2 linked regions of the Lepisosteus oculatus genome follow. The protein of the gene in region 1 purifies or fractionates together with the protein of each later gene. This does not show direct contact. Links are inferred from orthologs where the notes say so. Each region holds a gene or a part of one and is shown in the gene's direction. Other genes may lie near its edges.

Region 1 (8,142 bases):
ACCAAGGGCCTGGACCCGGAGGAGGCCGAGATCTCCACTGTGTAAGTCCAGTTAGACAGCGTGTGGGACACAGCCAGTCTCCCCTCTGTGTGTCTCTGCTGTACTGTGATCAGTGCTGTGGGACACTCTGTCCCTAACAGCCAGTCTCCTCTCTGTGTGTTTCTGCTGTGCTGTGATCAGTGCTGTGGGACACTCTGTCTCTCTGTGAGCACCAGCAGTTCTCTGCCTGTCTGTGCCACCTGGGGCTGTCCTGTGTGAACCGCCTGCTATGAGCCTCTGCGTCTGTGTCCCTTCTCTTCAGCCGCAGCGAGGTGAAGCTCAAAGGGGTCAGCACCCGGCGGTGCAGCATCCCGAAACCGCAGAGCGGGGCGCAGGCCGAGGTCACGTGCGACAAAGCGCCCCTCACCAAGTTCGAGTAGGTGACCCCCCCCCATTAGGGGGGAAGAGGGTGGACGCAGGACACTGCGCTCCATGAAAAATGGCCGTGGGGTGATGCCAGAGCCCGGTTAAGGGATCACAACCCCAAGGCAGCACCGATTTCCTCAAACATCCAGCCGTGTGAGAAATGAGCAACGTTTCAAGGGCGTGATCTGGGCCGTCTGCTGTTTCCCGCTGTCCTTCCTTGCACGCCCCCTCATCCTCCATTGTTGTTGCTGGTTTGGACCATTTTCCACCACAAATAACTATCCTGCAAAAATTTACAGAACGACACTCACTGGGGCAGAGTGGAGAAAAATGTTAGCAAAGGGATGATCTTTAAGCTGCTTTGTGTCTCCCATACGTATGGGCTTGCAAGGCCTAAAACTGCAGACAGTCTCACACATCCATCTTATGGGGGGTGACCGGGGGAGGAGAATTAGTGTGGCGTAGTCATCTGAAGCCCATTGCTGCTTCAATGCCTGTGCAACACATCCCTCAACATCCGTCCTGGTTAACAATCAGCCTATAGGAGGCGCCCCTGCAGCAGCCCCTGCAGCAGCCCCTGCTGCTGGGCTCAGGACAAGCAAGGACTGACATGAGGGGAACATCAGGAAACAGGGCGGCGTGGTTCTGTCCCAGAGGAGTGCGCTGCTGTGTTTGCACAGCTGGAGTTTGAGCTTGGCGGCCATTTTTCAATACCCACATGGCAATAGATCATTCAACTGTTGCCTCTCACCTTTATTGAGGCAGAAAGTTGCCTGCCATCGGAATTGGGCTATCGGTTTGCTTGTTTTAAGGAAGTTGGGTGCAGAGGACGATACAAGCGCATGCACCTGCCATTAGTAATGTCAGCATGTATTGTGTCGTGTCCCCTGATGAGCACAACATCCTAAAACAGCTTGTTTCTCCTTCCTTTGCTAGGAATTTGCCGCAGAAGAAAGAGCAGTCAAACGCTGCCACCTTCACTGAGGCTTGACGCTGCTGCCCCGCCAGGAGGTGACGCACCTCAAGGGCAGCTGGGATTTGTAGTCTCACAGTGTCCCACAGTTATAGACTACAACGGGCAGACACACCACCTAACAGTGGTAGCCTAAACATCTCTACACGAATGTCCCAGTTATCTCTTGACGGCTATAATGTTCTGGAGAGAACTGGGACATTTCTGCAGAAGCCTATAGGCAATTTCTCAGTTATCTGTGTAAGGTCAAGGTCGTTCCCAAGACTACAGGATCTAAGCAGCTGGGCTATGTTGGGCTTGTAACACCATTACAAATAAACTGATACAGGAATCACTTTAATCCTGACATGTTTTTAAAAATAGTGCTGATGGTCCTTTGATGGACAGCAGTATTGTGCAGCATTGCTCAAGTCCAGTTTTCTTGCACGGCTCTTGACGTTCCCAGATTTCTCCTTGTTCCAATGGGAGTACCTTTGGGAATAAAGTAGGGCTACTAGCCTGGGAACAAATGTATTGTTTAGTTCAATTTTGCTTTCCGTTTCCTCAGAATGGTGTGGGAGAAATTTGATCCGGATGGGAGAGTTCTCCAGTGAAGAAATAGAAATTTTAAATTAAAGTGTGACTGATGTCAGCTGCATTCTTCTACCATTTCCTTTCCCAATTGGCCTGCTAGGGTGAGAGATCCCTGTTAGCCTTTTACCAAGCACACTGGTCACCCCAGGGCCAACTAGTCCCGAAGGCACCTCTGAGGGGAAGGTGCGTAGGGGAAGAGTTTCAGTGTCACACCACAGGTCTGGCCAATGAGTGCGACACTGAATTCCTTCCCTGGGCCTCTCCCTGGTGCTGAGCTTTGAGAAGTCTTTTTTGAGGCAGTTTCTGTTTGTTGTATCCCATTTAAAACAAGAAGGAGCCTGAAAGCAACCAATGACCACAGATGAGCAAAATGGGAGGGTAGATGTTGAAATGCTCTGGCCTTATCAGTCCTAAACAGTATGCAGACTAGGTTTACTTTCTCCATGTAGAGATTTTATTTGAACAAACCAGCACTATCCAGGCACTCCCACATCCCCTGTACAGACAATCCCTCTGTCTCTTTCTCTCTCAGCATCTTTAATTGGATGCCCCAGGAGCCATATTAATACAAACCCCTGTCTCAGAATATGAAAATCAGTGGGGGGCCCTGAGACCCCTTGGACAATTCTGGCAATGGCTCAGCTCCGGGGTCACCCACCCTCGTCACTCCAGGGTGATGTCAGCCTTAACTCTCTCATCTCTCAGAGGAAACAGCAGCCGTGTCAACACAGCCTGTAGATAACATTCCCTTTGTTTAATGAAGGCTGTCCAGGCAGGAGCCCTTAGTCTGTACTCACAGCTGACCCTCGGGACTCACGCAAGCACTTCGTCTTACTGCCTCTATTTATTGGGTGAAAATTGTGTAAGCGCAGCTCCTTTTATAAGCTATGGAAACTTTTATGTGTACTATATTTATTGATGTATATGTTTATAAACGTAGCATATCTTCTTGCTGATAACGCAAGGAATTACCATTCATGCTGGTAGTTCACTGCTTGCCGTAGACTTCCTGTTTTATTTCTGACGTTTCCTGCGATTCCGCAGAAGTGTCTGTTATGTCTGTGTATCAGGGCAGTCAGGAGACACCAGGTCTGAGTGGTTGTGCTGCAGCAGAGTGCTCTTCTATTCCCCTGTGAACATGTGTCACTCCGAACTCATTAAAACCCTCCATTAACACAACTATTAACCCTTCCAACACCCCAGCTGACCCACACTGCACTCTTAGCAGTCCAGGTGAAGTCCCCGCTGGCCGATGAGAAGGAACTGGGGTGGGACTGATATCTGCGTGACACAGGCATCCGAATCCCATCAGCAAAACCTGTGTGACGCTCAGATGTGTCCCCCACCTCCCTGTGCAGGCATTTCTGAAATTTGTTATTCATTAAACACTCGACAGCTCTTTGGTCTTTGAGCGTTTCAGTCTCTTCCTCCTCAGCACAGAATTCAGTTCTTTGATCCAGAGGATTTTGGAAAGTGTGTCAGACCTTCTCCATGCTTGAAGTCTGAATGAATGATTCAATCACCCCTATACATTTTCAGTAGAACAGTCTGACATTTGCCGGCTCTCGTATTGTATTGGAGCCTGATCCCTCACTATGTTTGTGAGGGATCAGGCCGTTTCTTTATCAGAATTTCAACCGCAGTGACATTTCACCACCTCCTGTTCACTGTACTTGTAACCAAACGATCTCTCCTTGTATTTTGTACAAATAAGACTGTTTTTGGACTTTACCTATTTTGTATCATGCACTGTACATTGTGTGTATATACACTGTTATTACATGCATTGTTTTGTAAAATAAAATATCTCAAAATTGAAACAAACAGCATTGTCTCAGTTTGCTCAGTTCCAGACCGCAGGTCCAGACTTTCCTGCTCGAGGCCAGAGCAGCTGATAGATTTCCTCCCTACCTGAAGGAACACGGTTTCATCAGGAATGAGCAGAGCTTCACTCACACTCACAGAATTGTCATCAGTAAAATCACCTGCTTTTGGGTGTTAATGCGTGAGCTCCATTCATCAATTAACAGCCCCCACTCCTCCAGTGAAAACCCTGAGGGGTACAATTGTTCAATTTCCAATCACAAACCTGGCGTAACTGGAACAGTGGCAGGAGACCTAGTCGTGATTCGCACCAGTGGTTGCAAGAAATGCTGAGAATGTTAAGCAGCTACTCTGTAGGGTCTATTTGTTAAATGGGTTATCTGTGTCTTTTAAACACAACGTTTTGTTCAGATGGAAGATAACATGTTTTTGAAGAGAAGAATGTTTAATTTTGTTTGACATTTCTGCTGTTTGCCCAGTTGGGCAAAGGTTTTGCCATTTGTGTTTATAGTTTTGAGTATAGGGAGTGTAGTCTCAAACAATGTGTAAACGATTGTGAAACACTCTTAAAAAGACAAGAAAAAAATCATTGATCGACGTCACCATCTGCAGTACTGCTCACTTCTTGAGGAGGCTCAGGTCCTTCAATGTGTGTAGTAAGATGCTACATATGTTCTATCAGTCGGTGGTAGCGAGTGCCATTTTCTACGAAGTGGTGTGCTGGGGCTCTGGGATTAGAGCAGTGGATTCCAACAGGCTGAACAAGCTCATCAGGAGATGTGTGTCCAGACTGTGAGTAACTCTTTTAGTGCACCCTCACTGTACTGATTGTATTGTATGTATTGTACTATTATTATTATTGTATCATTCGTTACACTGTGGCTGTGTTGTCTGTGTTAAGCTGCTGTTGCACTGCAATTTCCCTCACGGGATCAATAAAGTATCTATCAAAGAAAACTACAGTTCCCAAGACGCCCTGCATGCGTGACGTCAACGGAAAAGCCTCTGATCAAGAGACGCGGTGGCGGCGGGAAGTAGGAAATGTTTCCGAGGTTCAAAATAAGATGCTGCCGTTTGTTTGACCGGGTTGAGCGAAACTAGGATAAAAAAAGGTATCAGGCGGTTTATTTATTTAATCGTGTTGTAAAACCGTTTCTGAGTGACTATTATAATGAAAACTATAACTGTAATAAAAACTATTGCTTGCATTTGTCAAGTTTTTACAAATACGTTTCACCCGTGTCTCCTCAGTTAGCGGTAGACAGCAGACAGAATGGGCAGCAGTGATATTTCGACACTATGTTTTTCCTGCATATCAGTAAAAGGGGCTTCACGCTGTGTCTCTCGGCTCACGGAGACGAGCGGAAGGTGAAGTTAGTAGCTGAGTGTCGTGTCTGACTGCGCGGAGGGAGGTCAGAGGCCCCTGTGCTCGTTTCCCTTCGCTCACCGAGAGCCGAGCCTGACCGGCCGTGTCGTGAATTCACAGCCGCGGGGGACGGGACACTGGAAGACGCGCATTTAAACGGTGAAACTCCTGCAACGCCTAACACCGTCAGACTCGCATTGCGCGGCAGTGGTGCCGGTGTTGGTCTGTTTATGTGCACTGCAGTCTGACCGCTGGGGTCAGTCAGACTCCCGGTGCACAGCAGTCTGGTCCACTCCGGGTTTTGCATTGTGGCCACACTTTCATCGCACAGCTGGGGACAGGCTGCTGTGTGGGGTGTCTGACTGGAGACCCTGCAGAAACCATCTTATCCACGCTGTGGGCAGTCATTGACTAATATTCACTCCTCGTCCCGCAGTTGCCTATAAAACCTGGTGGATTGCAGCCCATCCAGGATCAGGAGTGAATCCCTGTGTTTGTGCTGCTGCCTGACAGCCAGCCCTTCTCACCCGAGGCTGGGAAACTGGAGTGGACCCAGTTCACGCCTGGATTTGACAGGATGGGAGACAAGGATCTGCCACAGGTGCTGAAGCGCTGGATTGTGGAGGAGCTGGAGCTGCCGGCCCGTGACCTGCCTCCGGACAGCTACTTCAGGACGTGAGTGAGGCTCCTGCCCAGTGCAGTGGCTCTGTGATTCGCTCCGGGTTTTACAGTGCAGTATAAGCAAGATTGTAGAATAAGAGTGATGTCTTCCTGACACCACACACGCTGCACTTATTTTTTATGTTGTTTTGTTTTTTGCTTATTTTTATTTCTCTGTTTCAGGTTGTGTCTGGGTCAGGGTGCTGACATCTGGAAATACATCACTCGGCACGTTTACAATGAGGGGTGAGTGGGCTCACTGACACGCTCTTGCAACCTGCCTGCCTGTTGGAGCTACATCTCTCCTCCAGTGGATGGAGACTCTGCTGTGGTCCTACAGTGCTGTCAGTGAGAGCTGTGTCTCTCCTCCAGTGGATGGAGACTCTGCTGTGGTCCTGCAGTGCTGTCAGTGAGAGCTATGGCTCTCCTCCAGGGGATGGAGACTCTGCTGTGGTCCTGCAGTGCTGTAGTCCAGCTTACAGGATTTCTGTTTTTGTTCGCAGGAATGTGAGAATCATGCGAGGAAACCTGCAGTGGTATCCTTTATTAAACCTCCTGGTGCCATAATCTGTAGTGACTGACCTGAAGCTCTCGCTCATTTGGAATTCTGTAAAGCTGTTTAAACTAGAGTAAAGCAGAACAGCCTGAGGAAGAGTGAGTAGGAATTTACATGCTCGGCACCCTGAGCATTTCTGTCGCAGTCATTGTGGTGTTGGTAAAGATTGATTGTAAGAAGGGGGGATCTAGTTTTAAAGTCTCATCTGAAATGTGACCCCTCACCCAGGCAGAAGATAAGCCACATGTCGCCTTGCCTTCTAACCCAGTTCAGCCGTGAGACAGTCTGCCTCCTGGGCTTGTGCTGGTTTCATGAGATCTGTGTTGCTTCCACTCTGCTCAGACAGGTCCGTGCTGCTGTGGTCACAAGTCTTGTTGAGAGAGGAGGGCTTAGGCTGGGTCAGTCTTTCCAGACAGCTGCCTCGACTGGGGAGGCCCCATCGTGTTCATCAGGGTTTAGGGTTCGGGCTGCGCTGAGAAAGGCTTTGCTATTGTCTTGTGTTTGAACGGGAGATGTCAGATTCCTTGACGGAGCACTTTCAGCTACAAAGTCATGCAGGATTCGGAGGTAAATTGGAACTTTTTGATTGTTATAGACTCAGATCTTAAGAGTTGGGCTGAACGGCTTGATGCAAGTTCTTCTTTTTTTTTTTTTAAAGAAACCCAGTGTAAAGTTGCTCTCTCAAAGCCATGTGTGAGCAGTGATGGTCGCGGCAAGGGCACCCTTCTGTCTTTGACCTTTGACCCTCACCCTTCTCCCTGTGCTCAGTGGCGGGGGAGGCGCGTGGGGCTGTAGATTCTCACTCCCGCGGGTTGGCAGGTGCGGCGCGGCGAGGGCCAGAGTGAGGCGGCGCGGCGCCGGGCGCTGACCCGGGAGATCGAGGAGCTGCGGGCAGAGCTGGTGGAGCTGGACGCCCAGATCGAGCAGTCGCAGGCGGAGCTGTGCAGTGACGGTGAGGCCTGCGGGCACGGCAGGGGCCAGCAGGGGAGGGGGGGTTGATATCCCTCCAGAGAATCAGCTGTGTGTCGACCGTGTGTGCAGTTTAAATCTCGAGGAGCTAAAAAATGAACAATCAAACTTCAAAAGCAAAGACTTCTGAGTCCCAAAATTCGTGGGAGAAATGTGCGATTTAATTTCCTTATGGATGATCTTATAATAGTTATTTTCGATTGTTGCAGTAATTAGTGAAGATGTTTCTAGGCAAATATTTTTCCAATTTATTATTAAGAACATGAGAATTGTCATGAATGTTATCAGCTGTTTGGTTAATTTTAATGAATATTGTGTTGAGGGCTGGTCACAGAAAGACTCTCCAGCTTTAGCCAGATGTCAGAGAAGAGCGACAAAAATGTTTCGTGGTGTTTGGGAGGGGTCTGGTCATATATTCCTCGCCTGGTGGTCGAGACACCACCTTTGGGCATCTTGTGGAAATTCGTCTCCAGTTCCCTCGCTCTCCCTGCTGTCCTCAGACAGGGCTGTGGGTCAGTGCTGGGACCACTGCTCGGAGGCCAGGCGCAGGAGGGTCCTGCTCCAGGCGATGGGAGTGCGCTGTGCCCAGGAGCGCCACTCTCTGTGGCAGGATCGCCGGCGGATCAGTGGGCACTGCCAGGCCCTGGCGGAGCTGGCCAGGTAGGGTTCCCCAGCGGGGTGCTGTCCGGGCTGTCACCCTGTCTGTCCTTGTGGCACAGCAGCAGACAGGGCGCTCTGAATGTGAAATGAGACTCCTCACCTGTCTGTGGATCAGGGGTCACTGATCACCCCTGCTGACGCGATTCCTCTGGAGCA
Region 2 (8,615 bases), on another chromosome or scaffold:
CTGAGTTTGTTGCAGTTCAGGGTGAGGCTCTTGAGGCTGAGGAAAGTTCCAATGAAGGAAGGCAACACATCTATTTTGTTGTTCGACAGGTCCACTGTCCGTAAATTACTGGACAGTCTCTGTAGGTCTTCAGGGAACTGAAATGCACCAGAATGGACAGATATAAACACCTACAGAAACTAAGAGAGAACTACCACTAGGCAACAACCTAAAACTGTATCAAGTACATTGATACCTTTTTTAAAAGGACTGACATGGCAAGAGTCTCTAAAAATGTGTGCACTGACACCTTCATGAATTTTTGGGTTGTGATAATGCAGTGTGTAGGATGTCTGCTAAGCACAATACTGCGGAGAGTGCTGTTGCTACTGGAGACTACTCCAGCTGAAATCTTACAGTACGCGTTTACTCTGCCCAGCATTGCATGAGACTTGCCAAAAAGACACAGAGCACTCTGCAGCAGAAGAGATTGAGTGAAAACTCCAAAGTACAAAGCATGCAGGGATAAAAGAGAGCAAACAGACCTAAAATGGACATTGAGACCTTTAAAAATCTGCAATAAGAAGACTATCTGCAATATCAAAATGCTTTAACCATTATGCAGTTTGTCTATCAAAAAACACACATTGCAATTAATTCAGTATTTTACATGTAAGCTCATTTTCGTCTACAGAATGTCAGCATTATCGTAAGAGTTCGGGTATATTTTCAGCAAAGGGTTTAAGAAACTGAATGACACAACTCAGAAGAATATGGGAACACTGAAGGTCTCTAGAAAAGAACTACATTATATAAACTGGGCAACAAACCAAACCCTCATTTTCAATCCCTGTAAAAAACAAAAAGTAGCCGAGTTGCTCCAGACAGGGTAGATTAATGAAAAAGGACCCCTCCACCTGCTCCTCATTGAAAGGGCTACTCAGCACAGCCAATGTCTACCAACTTGTCTTTGGAAGGAGGGAGAAAACCAGTTTGTAAAGAAAAAAATGTCACGGGGAGACCATGCAATTTCCACACAGAAGGTGCTTCTGTCCTGACTCGGACCCATGACACTGCAGCTGAAAGACAGCAGCACAAACTGGCAGAACCACTTTGACTGTAAGCCTCTGAAAATAATAGCAAATAGGACAACAGACTAGATCCCACCATAAGGAAACCACATAAGCAGTTGTCACAATGTAGGAGAATTTGCCAGGGAGTATTATTCGAAGAAAGACAGACAGGGCAGCCCGCTATCTCGCACCTCGGGCAGGCCCTTGCCGGTGAGCTGAAACACCCCAGTCTTTTGGGACGTCTCAATGTGAGCCTTGAGAGCACTGTTCCCCATCCCTGCTCCCCGCTGCTGGGCTTCGCTTTTCAATCGCCTCCACGGATCCCAGGCAGAAAGTACTCCGCCTCCACTCCTCAATGCACAGGGCCCAGTTTCCCACTCGCTTCCCGCTATACACAGCCTCCGCGAAAATCCGTTCCCTGTTGTTTTTTTACAGTTCCAGTCTGTACGGGGAAAGAGCATGGAGCAAGATGAATTATACATGAATTCCTTTTCTTAATCGAAATAACTACAGTTATGTTGTTGTACCACCTACAGTTTTTTTCCTTTCGCCTGATTCATTCGGACTGTGCAATGGTATTGTTTTCCCGTACAAAAACAAAAAAAATCACTACCAATCTCACTTGAAAGAATAGCCCAATGTAACATGAAAGCGTTAAAATGACTGTTTTTCTTTAAAGTGTTATAACATGGGACGTTTTTAATAATAATACTTTATTAAACATGTCGGTTTATTAGGATGGCGTGAAAAAAATAATAAAAAAGAAACAGACGAACGCCCTTGATCCTGATAGAAACATTTTAAAATACTGTTAGGTGCAAGTTTCAATCAGGCTACAAAGCAATGTAGTTTGATACGACTTACATTAAATAACAACATGCCAAGGAAGGCGCCAGAGTCACGTTATTGCAAACTTAGCACAAAACAATATTTTCTGAAATACGCAGAAATATACGTCTAAATTACAACAGATAATATTGTACTCTCAAACAGATCGCGCTACAATGATTTTAGCTGTGTAACAAAAACACAAAATAAATATGTTGATTATTTTCAATTGTTTTTAAACATTAACGAAGCAAAACAAAACGATTGTTGTTACCTGATTCCCAAAGCTTATTTTCGGTGCGTTAAGATGATTGCTCTATTTACAACAACACGGGCTCACATGAACTGAGAACAGAAGCCGCTAAATAAGATTTTGTTTTTAATCTCCCGGAAACAGAAAAGACAAACTTGCTGACGAAAGGAAATGGGCTAGCCCACCGAGCAGCCATGTTACCAATGGCAACAAAACAGCCTTAAGCTCTAAAACTTTTTATATCTTGACATGTATTTTAAAAAGTTCAAGGTATATTGCACTTTTGAAAAAACAAATAAACACTTGGTCTGGATCATATGTTAATTATAAAATTTTGGTATATATGGAAGAACACTACGTTGCTAGACTAGGGATTAATTTGTTTCGTGACTATTTGAAGAAGGGATCACATGAAATTCTGCTTCTCTTTAAAAAACGTAGAAAAAATGACTAATTTGATATTCGCTATTTTGATAATCTCACCTGAAGTTAGTACTTTAATCTGAACATTATATTTTAATTAAGACATAATTATGATTAGTCTATACAATGCACAGTTTGAAGGGCCAAAGAGATGCCCTTTCTATTCTGTTACCGAAGTTCACCTTGAGCTCCATGAAGATGGCCCCCCTACAGACTGCACAAACGATTAAACCCACCTCATTCGTTAGTGCTACTTTTGTGCCGGTTTGTGCCGTTGAAATTAGCGTTTGTGCTTCTTTCGTTCCCGAGATATAGCGCCTTAGTTTCCCGGTGATCACGTGAACATGCACGGTGACTTTGACCTCCAGTGACCCCGTCTGCCGAGTTCAAGCGCTCAGTTATAGTTTAGCTCGTAACCTTAACATTTTAAAGACAACATCCATAAACTATGAGCCTCCTTAGATGTGAATAATACTAAGACTTGACGCATGCCAACAAATTAACATCTGTGACATAAACCTGTGGTTCTAATGTATGTAAAATAATCGTGATTGTAAGATCCATGGTTTTTATTTTCTATGGCACGTTTTCCTTTGCTTTCCCTACCCTGACATGCTGTTGCCAAACGCGTAATTGTGGGATACCATTGCGACAAGAGCTCCGCAGCATGTCATGATTGGGACCCCATGTATATCGCGGCAGTGTATATCACGACTGGCGCCTTGGTTCCATGCCACCCTGGAACTGCTGTCGCAACAAAGGTCTCATATCAGGACATGATATACCCAGATAGGACGTGCCGTGATACATGGACTTTGTGTCGCAACATGGGGTCAGCATATCCTGTCCAGGGTATGTTCTATGGCAACATATGGATTCCATGTCACGACATGGGGGCAGGGCATTTTGTCGGTGTATGTCATATTGCGATATACGGGCTTCATGTCGCGACATGGAGGCGGGGCGCTTCTGCCGGGGTATGTCGTATCGCGATATGGGGTCTTCATGTCGCGACCTGGGGGCAGGGCATTTTGGCTGGGTAGGTCATATCGCGATATGCGGGTTTCATGTCGCGACATGGGGGCGGGGCGCTTCTGCCGGGGTATCTCATATCGCGACATGGGGGCTTCATGTCGCGACATGGGGGCGGGGCACTTTTGCCGGGGTATGTCATATCGCGATATGCGGGCTCCATGTCGGGACATGGGGGCGGGGGCATTTTGTCGTGTATGTCATATCGCGATATATGGACTTAATGTCGCAACAGTGGCGCCTTGACAGTGATCCGCCAGTCAAAATGGGTATCGCGATGTGTCCGATGTGCGCGTACTCCTATCGTGACATGCTGTCGGAATCGTGAACGTGCTGTGGATGCCATGGCATTCTTTGTCTGCTATTCAGTTTTGACCTCAGTGCGACTTCTCTAAGCTTGATCAGAAATTGGAAACCATTGGATGTATTTCTGTATATCCAGCGTGCTCATACAGCACACACGGTATACACAGAACTTCCGCTGTGGCGCTTTACCCAATCAGAGTGTCGATTCTCAATCTTCACCCAATCGTGGCCCGAGCTGTTCGGGGGTTTAGCCAATCACGGGTCTGAGAGCTGTTCAAGCTAGCAGCGCCGGGTGGATCGGCTTGTTTTTTGTTAATGAGAAGCTATTTTTAAAATGCTTTACTTATTTGCAAAATAACTACACGTCTTATTTTTTTAACGTCTTTATTGATTCACAATGTCCCGTACTCTTCGAAATAAATACATTTTTTATTTGCAATATAACTGTCTCCGCTGCTTTCTGTAATGAATACATGGTATTTGAACAATTTTAATTTGTATATTTAAGGTAGGGGAAACACCTTCTACTATGTACGTAAAAATGAATAGAAATGTAAAGTCTGTGATCATTATATTATTATGCTAGTGCTTTCAATTTTGTTTTTATTGTTAAATTATTTCGATCTTGAAACTAATACATAAAAATGTGAATATGGGCTCTCGTGTTGTACCAGCGGTAATTTGGAAACTGGTGTCTCTTCACCACTAATGAAAGGAGTGCACAAGCAATACATTTTCGAGAACATGGTTAAAAATTAAAAGAAACACCTTACCCAATGAGCTAACATAGCAACTCCTCCCTAAATGTAAGACTGTTTATTCGTGTAAAGGCTGCAAAGTCTGGGGTCAACTGGTCAAAAGAGCGCAACTGAAAGATCTGGTAGTCGTGACTTAAATGTTTTTACGTCACAGAGTGACGTCAAAGGCAGGAAAAGAAGGCGCTATATTGAAATATACTGAAACATCCACCCAACCCGAAAAGACGGACTCGGAAAACAAATTGCCCGCATTGTTTTAATCACAATCAGGAGTTCAAGTACCCAGTTTGTTGGTACCCGTAAATGTCCTTGTAAATAGTCACGTGATTACCCGAAAAAACAAGGCGCTACATCTCTGAAACGAAAGCAGCACAGACGCTACTTACAGCGACACAAACCGGCACAAACGCAGCACTAACGAATGAAGTGGGTTTAATCGTTTGTGCTGTCTTTAGGGGGGGGGGGGGCAACTTCACGGAACTTTTACCTTGAACCCTCAAACAAGACTGGCACTGACAACATGGCAAAATGTTGTTCACGTTCGTGCTATTATGTTATTATTTAAGAAACTGAAAAATATCAGCCGCAGTAAACCTCATCTTTATTTTGCAACTAATTCTGCAATAAAATAAGTGATTTGACATTAAAATTGTGCAAATGTCTTGTATTATTATGTTAGGCGAGGAAACAAATTTGACAAATTACCAAATCGCTTTTAAAATACGTCATCAGTGTGCGCAGAAAAGAGGCGGGTGCGGGATTGTTTAAAATAGAATGGCAGTGATGGGACTGCAGAGGGAAAATAAGATCACACTTAGGTGAGATTATTGTTATGTTGTATTATAACACGGATCCTTCCTGTTCTCAAACACGCTAAGGTGATATATTCTTCTAGCGAACCTACCAGCGGCGAAATATGAGTCTTGTTATATTTAAAGTTTTAAATGGGGATTAAGAAAATGTATTGTCTCCTTCAAGCTGAATCAAAAAGAACTGCACTCGAAAATGTCAGTAATTGTGTGTTCGACGGCTTTCAGATTTTTGCAGATGTTTATTCGAATTTATTTAAATGATTTTGTTTAATTCCATTAGATTTTTAACGGTTTTGGGTTGCATAAAAAAAACTGTAAACATAACCACTACCGGTACATGTTTTGTACTTACAGTAAGCTACGGGTTAGAAGTAAGTGCAACGTCTGAAATGTATCTTATTTGTCTTGCATTTTCCTGTTTCATCACCAACACCCAACACCAACAGTGCCTTTGTCGTCTTTACCGATCAGTGCTTGTTATTCAGTGCCGAATGATACCGATGATGATTTCAGTTGATGAGTGGCGCGTCCCTGCCCTGGAGATGAATCCCTGGGTGCCGGCGCCCTATGCCGTGACCCCTGCAGCCCAGGTGCTGGCCAGATGTGTGGCTTCCGGAGCGCTGTCTGAGGTGAGGGTAGAGCACGCTTTCAACTGAGCCACCGGACGTTACTCAAACGAATCAATCTGAAGTGTACACGGGTTTTCAGCATGTATCCAGCTGTATTTTCTAGGTTCAGTCCACTTCACGTTTTTAAATGATACGTATCATGTTCTTCCCCTGAGACATGGTATTTGACAAAAATGCTTCACTTTTCCTCGGGGTTCCTTTTCCTTCTGTTTTATGCTTGTGGTGTGAACTGAAGTATAATGCACATGGTAATGAGATGCTTACTCGGCTTCCTTGCCGTGTTGCAGGACGTGGATGGCATCCCCAGAGACATAACTGTCTTCTCTCCTCAACTCCTTGAAGCTGAACAAGTTGCAGCATTGAGGCACGACATTAACGAGGTAACCTCTGACCTCCGCAGACGCTACCTGTTTTCTCACTTCTCTGAAAAAGTATCCTTTCTGTTTTCCTTGCACCTGAATCATTGAATGTTTTCAATCCGTTTTGGAAAGGGCGGGTTCCCTTCGCGTTGCTCAAGCTGTTGCGCCTGTACTTCACAGAATGCTTCTCATTGTGCGTTTTTTCTTGCTTTCAGAAAAGCCTGGAAGTGGAACTCTTACAGCTAGAAAAAGAGGGAGCTGAGGTCACCCACAGCTTTTATCTCTGTAGGTGGTACATGTCCAACTTGGTAGCAATACAGTCTCCTCCAGGAGAGTTGCTTGAATATACTTTTCTGGCTTCTAATAGAGATTTACGAGATGTTAATGCTCAAAATGTTCACTTCACTTACTTTAAAGTAATATGAAGAATGTATTAAGCTAAATGCTTCACTTTTTTGGTCTTTGTAATATTAAATTAACTCCTGCAGTGGTTACATTGACATTTTTAAGAAGAGCTGGGACTTGAGTTCTTGTCTCGGTGCTGCCTGTTTTAAAATGATATGGACAGTGATGGAAGTTATTGTTTCTCCAGCCAAGAAGTTTGAAGCCCTGCAGCAGTTCACCTCCCATTTGCAGGAAGTATTGCATGAACGTAGGAGTCTTTGGCAAAGGCTGATGAAACCACATTGCCAGCAGAATCTGCCCGTTGAGGCCAACCTGCACAGGCAAGTATAGAGGCAGCCCTTCAGTGTTTAAGACAAACTGCAATTTAACAGTTTTCTTCCAGGAATGATATCTTGACAAGTCTGTAACGCAACAACCTGGTAGAAGATTATTCGTTGATACTGATGTCAATGGGATGTCAAAAAGAGGAAAGGGGCCCCAGGGTCTTCCCTTAATTATGATGGCCACCTCTCTTGCTTCACTTGGAACAGCAATAAGAGGGGAACCTTCACCCCCTGCAGGAAAGCAAACAAGCTGCCAAGCCAGAAGAATCCTCATGGGGGTACATGTTTCTGTCAAGGAACAGGTAAGGGTTTATTCCTTGCTGAAAGCAAAAGAAAAGAGACTTACCATTTTGGCTGTGGAGCTTTCTTTTTCTTTCAGCATGGAATAACTCTTTACCTGCTCCTTTGCAGGCTATGCATGCCCACGCAGCTGCCTACATGAATGTGTTTCTGTCAAGCCCACCTCAGCCGCCCCGGCGGGTGGGTACAGGCGTTTCCATTGAATCCGTGTGGTGAAATGTGCAGTCAGACTTCCCAAAATAGCGCCTATATTACAATCTTCCCCGCTGCAGGTATGTGGTGCAGCTCGTAAGTATGGCCGCAGACTTCATCAAGAACCTGGAGAGCAGGGTGCAGACAACGCGCTCCATTCCTGACATTGGCCAGTCCATGGCCAGCCTGGTATGTGCATTCAGTTATCTCAAGCGGCTATAGCAGGGGTGGGCACCCCTGGTCCTGGAGGGGCCAGTGCGTCTGCCAGTTTTCTAGGTTTCTTCAAAGCACCAGCTCCTAAAACAATGGGAGAAGCTTTTACATTGGTCCTATTAAACCAGAACTGAGCTGATTGAGCTTGTTAAGAGCATGGTTTGAATGAAAACCTGCAGACATGCCAGCACTCCAGAACCAGGACTATCCCTGGGCCATAATCTGAGCCTAATTTATTTCTTAGGAATACCAAGCCAACAAAATAATATTGAAGGCCAGTTTCTCTGACAGGCCTTTTTTACAACCTGTAACAAACAGCTGTTCCAAAAACTGCATCTTAGTAGCCAGTTCCTCCTGCTGGCTAAATTGGCAAATTACCGCATCCTACAGTTAAGAGCAAAACTTCTCCCTACATCTGTTACTCAAAGTTCCTTAGGCATACAACCGCATGAAATGCTCTTTGGATACTGAATATATTGATCAAAATAAGACATCAGTGTGTTAAATATGTTTGTATTCTAAAATAACAAGTATCACCATCAGGAATTCATTTATAGCTGCAGCATTGCAAAAGTGAAGACAAAAATCCAAAGGGGAGTGAAAAGCATAACAGCTAGGGCCCTGCTAAGTTTGTGATTTCATATAGCTGGTGTGAAGGGAGCGTACTGGCACACTGTACGCTTTGAGTGGATTGTCCAGGAAAGAGCTATATAAACTAAGGAATTATTAT

Evidence for each region. Proteins that work in one complex are often made in the same cells at the same time.
Region 2: the proteins of haus5 (region 1) and haus2 purify together in Homo sapiens (affinity purification with mass spectrometry; 5 studies listed by BioGRID and IntAct, with this or other methods). This does not show direct contact. The link is inferred for Lepisosteus oculatus from reciprocal best matches to the Homo sapiens genes HAUS5 and HAUS2.

Annotation. Positions count from the first base shown.
Region 1 is NC_090722.1:11,586,398-11,594,539, reverse strand, and holds the start of haus5 (HAUS augmin-like complex subunit 5), read left to right. Parts: upstream 1-4,799; 5' UTR 4,800-4,887; intron 4,888-4,893; exon of another isoform or gene 4,894-5,300; intron 5,301-5,577; 5' UTR 5,578-5,718; coding exon 5,719-5,816; intron 5,817-5,984; coding exon 5,985-6,047; intron 6,048-6,304; coding exon 6,305-6,337; intron 6,338-6,899; coding exon 6,900-6,924; intron 6,925-7,176; coding exon 7,177-7,309; intron 7,310-7,826; coding exon 7,827-7,986; intron 7,987-8,142. Other genes in the region: ncam3 (neural cell adhesion molecule 1), read left to right, coding at 1-41, 302-415, 1,342-1,396.
Region 2 is NC_090703.1:12,612,106-12,620,720, reverse strand, and holds the start of haus2 (HAUS augmin-like complex subunit 2), read left to right. Parts: upstream 1-5,375; 5' UTR 5,376-5,470; exon of another isoform or gene 5,471-5,530; intron 5,531-5,910; exon of another isoform or gene 5,911-5,935; 5' UTR 5,936-5,955; coding exon 5,956-6,093; intron 6,094-6,380; coding exon 6,381-6,473; intron 6,474-6,667; coding exon 6,668-6,737; intron 6,738-7,044; coding exon 7,045-7,177; intron 7,178-7,752; coding exon 7,753-7,861; intron 7,862-7,908; exon of another isoform or gene 7,909-7,969; intron 7,970-8,382; exon of another isoform or gene 8,383-8,615. Other genes in the region: lrrc57 (leucine-rich repeat-containing protein 57), read right to left, coding at 2-137, 1,244-1,327.